2 linked regions of the Nothobranchius furzeri genome follow. The protein of the gene in region 1 binds, or shares a complex with, the protein of each later gene. Links are inferred from orthologs where the notes say so. Each region holds a gene or a part of one and is shown on either strand. Other genes may lie near its edges.

Region 1 (5,074 bases):
AGCAGCCGTCCCAGTACAGCCCAGGCCCTCCAGAACATCCCACAAGAACACTCAGCTTTCAATTACCTCCAATAGCAGCACTTATCAGACTCCATCGCTGTCCCCAGAGATTTGGGGCTTGATGCCCACACTCACATCCACGACTGGGGCATTCATCATGGGGCGGGGTAACAGCTGGGGCCTGAAGAGGAGGCACGCGTCAAACCCCTGTGGGACTAACTGGGCCGGCGTCACACCGCCACTCTTTAGGAGTGATGGAGGAACGGCCGTGTGCTGCATCCTCCCTTCACAGCTTTAATAACACGTCATACAGATGTACACAAGCAAAGGCAGGAATCTTAATGATTTCTGCTTAGAGCTATTTTCTCACAGCAGAGTGGCGGCGGAGTTTCCACTGCTTGATTGTGTCGCGCCCATTAACCAGCTCGCTCTTTTAATGATCCACATGTTATGGGGGAGGGGCAGTAAATCCTGTCCTCTGCGGGGCGTGTTTACGGGCAGTGAAGAGCGCACAAACATGATGAAAAAGTAGCTGAGATTTACCGGCCTCCCCTGACAGCCAGGAAAAGAAGAAAATTAAACCAGAGAGCATTAAACAGGCAGCGATTACAGGCCTGCTCTGACACCAATAATAACCATCATTGTGTCCCGTCATCCCCGAGTACATGACATGACTGCAGAGGCTGCGGCCCTGCACCTATGACAGCTAGCGTCTTCATACCAGAGCCACTACACACTTCCTCTGCTGGAGGCAAGGCAAACAAATCATTTCTAAAATTAATTATTTCACAAAATGAATCAATCTGATTTCTGCAACATTAAAATATTGATTTGCTTTACCACCAAATGTAGATCACTCTGGGGTGATTTTTTTATTATAGATGAACATTTTCTTGTTAAAGTGGCATTAAAGTTTTATTAAACCTTCTACAAACTATTTATTATCATTAAAGAACCGACATCATGGCTGCCATCTACCCTGCTGTTTAAACTCACATTATTTTACACAATTTGCTACCATTTCAGTTTATTTACACATGTCGCTGAAGAGGAGGTGTACAACGATTCTCTTACGCTAGAAACATTAAAAACATTTTTATCTTCTTTTAGGATAATATCAGCACTTAGCTACATCTCTCTAATCCACACTCCAGAAGGATTATTACAATGGAGGCGGGAGGGAATGGATTAAAACAAGAGCTTGTGCATCCATCATATTCTTGAGCATTTGCTTGTGTGAGCTCTTGGTGGCATGCACTCATTTCTTACTTGTTTACATTTAACAAGACTGACCTAAATCCTTGTTTTAAAGATCTTACGGCCAACCTGTTTTATGCAGACTCTAAATTACAATTGCACTTTCAATAACATCTACTCTGATTTTGAATAATAAATAACATCCATGTGATTTTAGCCTATTTTGAACAAACAAAAAGTAAATCTGATTCTGCAACTAAACGTAGTAGTGGAAAGGCTACTAGCACCACCTGGTGGTGATAGACGTAAACAGCTGATTGGGAAAACTAAAAACTACACGAACACATCACAGCCTATGTTTTCATGTTGTTTGTGTGTTTTGTACTTACACTCCTCTAAACCCAGCTGGTAAGCCAGGTTCTGAAGTCCTTTGACCTTCTCCATCAGGTTAGCTGTTGTCAGACTACCCAGCTCTGCAGAGTGATTACAAGGCAAAGATTTTAAGCTCCAGTTTGATCAACTCAGTTTCTCCTTGACAAGATTATATATTTATGGAAACACTAACCAGTACAACAGTTTTAACATGAAACGCTGCAGGCACAGAGAAAATCTTTCTAATTAAACATATATTAAAAAAAAAAACAATTGTACCAACCTTTTAACATCTCGATGTCCTCGCTTTCCAATTCAGCCATCCACTTAGGGGGTGAGCTTGTAATGGGCTGTAATAAAAATAAATGATATTATACGGCAATGCCAAATCTAAATGATTATTTAATGTATTAATCTCAGTTAATGACAAAAAACGTATCTTACGTTTTTATAGGATGCAGCAAATTCTGCAACTCCGGGTACTGTGTGAGAAATGACAGGACAGATAAGGTTAAACTGTGGGACCATAAAGAAGCACAGAGGAGATGAAAACTTACACTGCTCAGGCCACAGGTCTGGTGACGCTCTGTCCAGCTTTTCTAAACTAAGCAAAGAGCTTTCAAAATCATCACCTGGCAAAGAAAAGGAAGTAAAATTATGTTCAGAATTCAGGCAGAAATTTCAGAGCTTTAGAACAAAATGTGATCTTCTTGATGTAAATACAAGTAAAATGTGTGACTTATGGACCATTCCCATCTGTACCGGGTCGGCCCGGGCCGGGTAGCCCCAGTCGGCCCCATCCTGGCCCGGTTGATTCCACACATCCTTGTCTTACGCCCATGTGGGCTGATTCTACCCACCAATCAGAGGCTTGCTCTAATGGAAGGTGTGAATTTGCTGTCAGCAGTGGGTGTGTTGGCCCTGGTCGGCCTGAAGCAGACCCCCTCGAGAAGAGGGCTGAGAATGAGCCTTGGTTGGTCCGGAAAAATACCAGGCCACCCAGATATGTAAACAACCAACGCTACCCGGCCCGGACCGACCCGGTACAGATGGGAATGGCCCATATGACTACAGCCAAACAAATGTCAAAATGTAACCACAACAGTTAATACAATATGTTGGCTGTATTAAAACAAAATATGTGTACAAGATAAATACTGATTAATCAGCTGTTCTTAAAAAAATTACTAATATTTGGGAGGTTTAGTTTATTTATCATACCTTTCATTTTTAAATGTTGCTTGATTCAAGTCCCTATACAACCATTTCTGCTAGGCTGTGACAACAACTGTGTGCTGATTATTCAAAAACTATTCTTAAAACCAATATTTAGTGTAACAATTTGTGTTAGCATTATGCTTCCTAATACATGACCCTACATAGTGTGTGTGTGTGTACATATATATATATATATATATATATATATATATATATATATATATATATATATATATATATATATATATATATATATATATAACCTTTCAAAAACCTTTCAAAATATGTTGATGTGAAACAAATAATGCCTCAAAATGTTGGAAAAATGTCGTAAATATTAATTATTAGGCCAGTATTTAACAAAGAGGCAACTCAAAAGCTAGTAGTATTTAAAATATCAGGAGTTACGGAAGGTCTGCAGCCAGCTGTCTACTGTTCTTCCTTGAACGTTGGTGGACTAACAACACCGGGGCTAGTGGAGCCTTCAGTCAAACAAAACCACCTCCGAGAAGTCGGACTACAACGCTGATATGTGTAGTTCTGAATTCTGGGTGTTCAGCTACATCATCAATACATTCGTGGAATAATTTGTGTGATTTAAAGTGTTAAATTTTACATTTTTTAACAGCGTATCTGTGTAAGGAATTAAAATTTACCTCCATTCGGAGACGCCATCTTCACAATAATCACGTGACCCGTGACAACGAATAGGAGTCAATGTTGACAAAGCCTTGTAAATTCACAAACACACCACAAGAGGTCACTCTTACACACCAAAGCCGTGTTCCTGGGGGTAAAATGAATAAACTAATAATTTTATAATAAGTGTCAGGGGCGATCCTAGCATCAGAGGTTTAGGGGTGCTAAGCACACAGCGAGTTCCATGGCCAGGCAAGATACATTTCAACATTTTGTACAATTTTACACAATTTCATTCCAACATTTGTGAAAGAAAAGAAAATCGGTGTTTTTACAAATAGATCTGTGGTTTTACATATCACAATCTATGTTGAACAGATTTTGCTATCTGTGTACAACAATTTGGTCCAAGTTCGAAGAGTCTGGGTCAGTGGTTCCCAACCCTTTTTCTTTGATGACCCAATACAGGATCTATTTTATGGTTTTTGGTGCAATATTTTCTAACAGTGAGTGAAAGTCCGTTTTATTTATTTCTTTTTTTTGTTTGTTTGTTTTATTCATTTATTTAGAAGTTCGATTCTGAACATTCTAATGTTAACAAGAGTTTTATTTGCTGCATTTTAAAGGGTGTACTTGCATTATTATGATATATTAAAATTATATAAGTGATTATTTTGGTCTCGATAATGTCAACAATAATATTGTTTATTGGCAATAATTTGTTGGACAATATATTGTCCTGCAAAATCTGTTATCGTCCCAGGCCTAGTTCACTTGTACAAACTACTTAAAAATTAAAAATCAGCAAATCTATTTTATTTTTCTGTGTACAACAAAATTTTAGCTATTAGCTATAGCTGGGGCTATTAGCAGTTAAAACAGAGATGGATTTTTTTTAAGCTTTATTAAAATAAGAGGCTAAATATTCTCTTCAGAATGTCTAAAAGGAACGTGCAGTACCAGATTTCAGTTGGAAATTAGAGTGTCGTTCTATTTATTGCCAGCGGAGCTAGCAACTATATGTGATTGAATTTTTGAAAAATCTAAAGAGGCTAAATATTCCCTTCTAAATGGATTTAAAAATCGGATGTGCAGTATCAAATTTCAGACACTAGAGGGCAGCAAATACTCCCTTCTTGTCTGCATGCAGTTGGAAACCTGTGTTGTTCTGTTATTTGCCAGCAGAGGGCGCACATTCTCCATTCTTTCAACGAAACAAGTGTTTTAAAAAATAGAGCAAGAGTTTCTACTAAGTCCGTCTTGTAAAAATCTATTTAGACAAAGAACAAAAAGAACCCATATTCAATTTGGTTACTTGTTTCTTAACTTATAAACTTTCTAAATAAATTATATCACTTAAAAGTAATGCAGGTTTTAAATTAGTGTTAACAGCATAGTCAAAATAATGTGAAAGCCAGACGTTTTCACTTAAACCTATTAAAACTCAACAAATCTATTTATTTTCTGTGTTCAACTGAAACTTTGTCAACGAACTACAGCTGGAGATATTAGCAGCTAGCAACTAAACATTACAATTTCTTTTAAAGCTTTATTAAGATAAAGAGGCTAATAATATTCTCTTCTAAACGGCTAAAACGTGATGGCGCAGTACCAGATTTCAGACACTGGAGGGCAGCAACTCCAATCT
Region 2 (5,197 bases), on another chromosome or scaffold:
ATTTGTCTATTGCACAACAAAATATAGCGCAGAGCCAGTTTAGTCTTTTGTTTTAGCTGCAAAGACAGAACTAATCACATAAAGGGAGCTCCTCTTTTTTGTGGTTATAATTTATTTATTTATCTGCATTGTGACGGTTAAGTATCCTTAGTTTTTTGCCTGGATTGTGTGTTTTTTAGCAGGACATCTCATGAACTAGTGGATGAATTTTAGCAATGCCTCAGTACCACATTCTTTCCAAAGTGAGTACTTGCTGATACCGAGTACCAATACTGAGTAAAATACCGCTGACCTATATCATGTTTTGGTACAGATTCAGCTCAACAGAAAATAAGAAGTCAAATACTTGTCTTAAAAAATGTGAAGGATATAAGTCTGTTGATGATCTGCCTAAGCAATTAGATTAAAAAGAAATCTGAGCATTGTTTCCACTCTGAGCTTTTTAGAAGTGACACTCTGAGCCGAATCGCTTAAAAAGAAGGATGTGTTTACTAGCTTTAGTCTGTTATCACGACTCAGCAGTGAGTTGGTGATTTACACTGAGGGCATTGGCATTAACTAGCATAACGCAGCTAATCGTTTTGCTTTCAAAGCTAAGTTTTAATAGGGAAATGGAGAGTGAGTTTATTTTAGCAGTCACACGTCACATCAAGTAAAAAGCAAACAACCATAGGGTTAACTACAAATGGAAAGACGTGGATTTCCAAATAAATTCAGACAAAAGAAAAAAACAAAAGTATATAGGCTAGAAGTACAAGACAAACTATAAGAATAATCTTTTGTGTTACACTATATTAAAAAATCAGGACAATATTAAACCTGAAGCAAAAAACAGCTCAACACACAAATAAAAGCATTTCCTCACCTCTCATGAACGTCAGGAGAAGCAGGAATTTGTGTGTTTTTCCTGCACAAGGTTCCAAATATTAATACCAGCAGCCAAATACTCTATCAACCACATTTTCTTTATTTCAAAATAAAACTAGGTAACAAAGTCTTTTACACATTTTATGTATATTTATATGTCTTTATTTATTATGATTTTTACAAAAACAGATATATGCACACATGTATTATTTCTTGCAGCTACAATCCAAGTCTTTCTGCAGCATTTTAGGCCATTACTCTGATTTCTAACAAGCTCTTTGCATAATTCAAACAAGCTTTAATTCAGTCGCTGTTATCTTTATGCTGGTAGTCTAAAAATACTTGTGCAATTATGATGCAATAGGAAATTGCTCATTTTGTAATCAGATTCAAAATTGTGTGAAATCGCACAGTATAATTTGATTATTATTATTATTATTTCATATTGTTATTGTAATTATTATTTATAATAACGTGAGTGGAATTAAAGAGGCTTTTATTTTCATCAGAATACAACGATCCTACTTCCGCTTTTCCGTCTTTAAGAAGCACACAGTAGTCTAACAGTGAAAATGGGACACATGAGGGACACCTACTATTAGAAAACTGTAAAATGTCTCATAATTTGCATCCAAAATTTTAAAGGCTTACAGGGGAACAAAAGAAAACTTTCTATTGTTATTATAGATAGTTTGTCTGCTAACCACTGCAATAAAAAAAATTCAGAGATACTAATGCTAAGATTGCATGTCACGGGGAAAATGGGAAAAACACCGGTGAAAGTCTAAATGCCCACTAGATGGCAGCAAATTCCAGTTTCTTAAGGCGGCAGAGAAAGTTCGCTCTCAAACACAATGCAAATATTATTATATCACAAAGATGATGTAATATTTTGAGTCACAGATGTTTTATCATGCCAATTATGAGCAACATACATTTCACAGTTTTGCACACGAACCCTACATGATCTGCGAAGAACTTCACGAGGAGCTATATGTTTAAGATATGAGTGATTAAATGTGCAAATGTTTGTTTTATGGGAAAATAGGTTCCACATCTTCTGTCACCAACATCCCCAAAGGACCAAAGCCCCCGCAGCCCCGTCAACCCGTCTGAACCCACCACATCCATTCTCCCGAGGAGTTGTGAAAGTGAACACCCGCCTCCCTCAAATCTCATCCAATGAAGAGTACGCTCGTGAAAAATTCAACCAATCGGTTACGAACAGTTCCTCCTCAATTGACCTATTAGCTTTGAGCATTCACTTCTTTTTTTTGGCAGCCCAGTTTTGACCAATAGGAACCGAGGCCGCCTGCGCAGAGGGCTGGGCGCGAGAATCGGCGGGATGGACAAAAATCATAACGCCACGGAGCTGTACGCACAGGGGAAAGATTACGAGAACCCGTTCTGACGGCGAGTAATGAAAGTAATGTGTCGGTTCCTCTATCTAAATTCCGGCGTTTTGTTGTGTAACACTACATTTTTAAGAAAGACGTACCAGCAAGGGACACAAGGACGACTTTCATATCTGCCGAGACGATTTTATCGGAAGTGAAAATGGCGTTTGCACAGAGAGCAATGTTATGAAGACAGTTAGCCCGTTAGCTAGCCGCACAGTTACCGCAAACAAAACAGCAATGACTAACATCAGTTTCTATGGATAAACCTCTGTTAATGCGGGACTTCAGAAAATTTCCAAACACAGCTTCGTCTTTGATAATATTCAATCATCCTACTGGCTATGGACAACGTCAAGTCACGCAGGTAGGTGATTTTATTAGATATGGTTCACTTGCCATCTTTTTGTTTGCCCCTTGTGATCTTATCAGCCTATAAATGTAATAATTTTGGATAATTCAGCCTGAATGTTGTGGAAGCAGGGTGGGCGTTAACGTTCATGTGCACCTGAACATCTCAGAAGATCTACTGTAGAGGGATATAATAAAGAACAACAACAATAATAATAATAATAATAATAGCATAATAATTCAAAAGAGCATTACCCAAAAGTGTAGTACTGGCTGAATTAACCCTAAATATTTTTGTTAGCCTCAAGGATAACCTGCTGACTTTATTATAACTTGAAAGTCACTTTGGACAAAAGCGTCTGCTAAATACATCAACATAAATGAATAAAAAGCAAGACTAAAGTGCATACTGCAGTTTACTACTATTTCCCCCCTTCATTCCTTTTTTTTACTGCAGGGCAAAAAAGACGTGGAGAAATAAACCTATAAGTCCATGAAGCTCTTTTAATGTACTCTGTCTCTGAGTTGAGAAGTAATTTAAACCAAAAGCAGTAAATACTTGAGTCATGTGATTCCTAATCAAATGTTGCCATATTATGATGCAAAATGTCACATTGATTGCTGTATTTATTCGTTGGTTACTGATTATGAAAATCTGTGTTTTTGGCATCTAACTCACAAAACCGTGTCAAACAAACTAAATTGTTGAAATGATCATGTTAAACTGTTTTTTGATTTTTTATTAATTTAAATAACCAGCAAAACTGTCGCAACTAAAATATAAATCATCACTGAAATCTTTCTTTTGTTTATCAGGGTCAGTTTCAGTCCTAAAAAATTAGGACATTTTGATATTATTGGTAAAAAGTATTCCAGGTATTGCTATGTGATTTAAAATTATGCTAAGCTAAATGCCAGGACTTTATATTAGTGTGTTTATTTTGTATTTTGAACCAGTGGACCGTTAGGGCTTTGCCAAGCCTTTGACCACACCTCCACCTTATTCACAGAGGCTCACTCTCATGCACCTCTGCTACTGAAAGGCTGCTGTTGATGCGAGATCACCAGTTTCATTACACCTCTCCTTCCTGTTCGACTTTACGTCCAGACTCGGTCACTTTTCTCCTGCTCAAAGTGAGAAAATCTGGCCTCATAAAGGTTTCTACAGCAAAGAACGTCTTTTTTTCTTACTCAGATACAAAACCTAAGTCAGTGTTGCACAAATCCGGTCAAACAAGTAGTTAATGCCAACATTCTGAATTAGATTTAGCATGGTAAAACTGGGCTTTTGTAATCTCCCAAGAATGCAGTGAAGAACTGAAATGGGACCTGGTTTAGTTGTTGAGAAGAAAACACTCCTAAGGCACTGATGGTGAGCAGAAAACAATAGTGTTTTTACTTTTTTCTGCTTTTTTCACCTGTGTGTTTTAGCACTGATGAAGACGACGAGCTGCTTTCCACAGATCCAGAGAGTAAAGAAAAGAACAAAGATAAAAAGACGCTGTGCAAAGTCAAGTGGTCTCGGGATGAAGTGAGTTTTTCAAGTTCAGACTAAAAATGTAAATGACTGCCGCCCTAATATGTAAGAACAACTTTAATTGCACCCTCATTTAGAAAGATCAGGGTTAACATTTAATTCTCACCGTCTATATTTTCTGTTATTCTATTTTTTAAGGATGAAAAACTGAAGAAACTCATAGAGCAGCATGGAACTGAATCCTGGAAATTAATCGCTAACCTTTTTCCTGTGAGTATTAAACAGAAATCATTTTTAATATCTCCTTCTGACTCTTACCTGCACCAGCTGCATTTGGATGTGTAACTGCAAAGATACAGTTAAACACAGCTGTCATTGTAGCTGACAAAAGGTGTTACACTTTGTGTCACAGGGGAGGACAGATGGTCAGTGTCAGCACCGCTGGCAGAAGGTGCTCAACCCCGAGCTGGTAAAAGGACCGTGGACAAAAGAGGAGGATCAAAAGGTAAGTGGAGCTGGGAGGTTCTGTTTGGGAGAGAGGGATGACTAAAGAGCAGAAGGATAGCAGAGCTGTAGGGAGTTTGTGAAGAACGTAATATCTATGACACTCAGAGAACCTGTTGTGTCCTCACGCAGCTGTTTTCCCGCTTAAATTGGGTTTATTTATCCCCCACCCGCCCCTTTTCCTATTTGTGTGTGTGTGTGTGTGTGTGTGTGTGAAGTGAAATATCCATTACATCATTCTTTAAAGAAAAAAACACACATGCACACTTTCCAAAGCTAGAGTCCAGCCCTTTCTTAGTCAGGGAGATGTTTTTTTTAGCTTATAGAAATGAATTCCTTCAATGGATCAATGCTGCTAAATAATGTTCTTTAAAGAATAGATTCAAACTGATTTTATTACAAGTGTTTACATAGAGCCTAATGAGCTTTGTTTATGCCCGGGCTATTTATAAATGCTTGTGGTTTGCTGTTGGTGCAGGTGATCGACTTGGTTCACAAGTATGGCCCCAAGCGCTGGTCCGTGATCGCAAAGCACCTCCAGGGAAGGATTGGGAAGCAGTGTCGGGAGCGTTGGCACAACCACCTGAACCCGGAGGTGAAG

Evidence for each region. The genes of interacting proteins can lie anywhere in the genome.
Region 2: lin52 (region 1) and mybl1 share a complex: the UniProt entries of both Homo sapiens proteins name them as parts of the DREAM complex. The link is inferred for Nothobranchius furzeri from reciprocal best matches to the Homo sapiens genes LIN52 and MYBL1.

The regions. Positions count from the first base shown.
Region 1 is NC_091758.1:32,967,424-32,972,497, reverse strand, and holds the start of lin52 (protein lin-52 homolog), read right to left. Parts: upstream 3,546-5,074; 5' UTR 3,463-3,545; coding exon 3,444-3,462; intron 2,202-3,443; coding exon 2,127-2,201; intron 2,052-2,126; coding exon 2,014-2,051; intron 1,920-2,013; coding exon 1,853-1,919; intron 1,671-1,852; coding exon 1,587-1,670; intron 182-1,586; coding exon of another isoform or gene 156-181; exon of another isoform or gene 1-155.
Region 2 is NC_091747.1:51,691,359-51,696,555, reverse strand, and holds the start of mybl1 (myb-related protein A), read left to right. Parts: upstream 1-1,987; 5' UTR 1,988-2,608; coding exon 2,609-2,631; intron 2,632-4,046; coding exon 4,047-4,146; intron 4,147-4,290; coding exon 4,291-4,362; intron 4,363-4,504; coding exon 4,505-4,597; intron 4,598-5,074; coding exon 5,075-5,197. UniProt on the Homo sapiens protein: Transcription factor that specifically recognizes the sequence 5'-YAAC[GT]G-3'.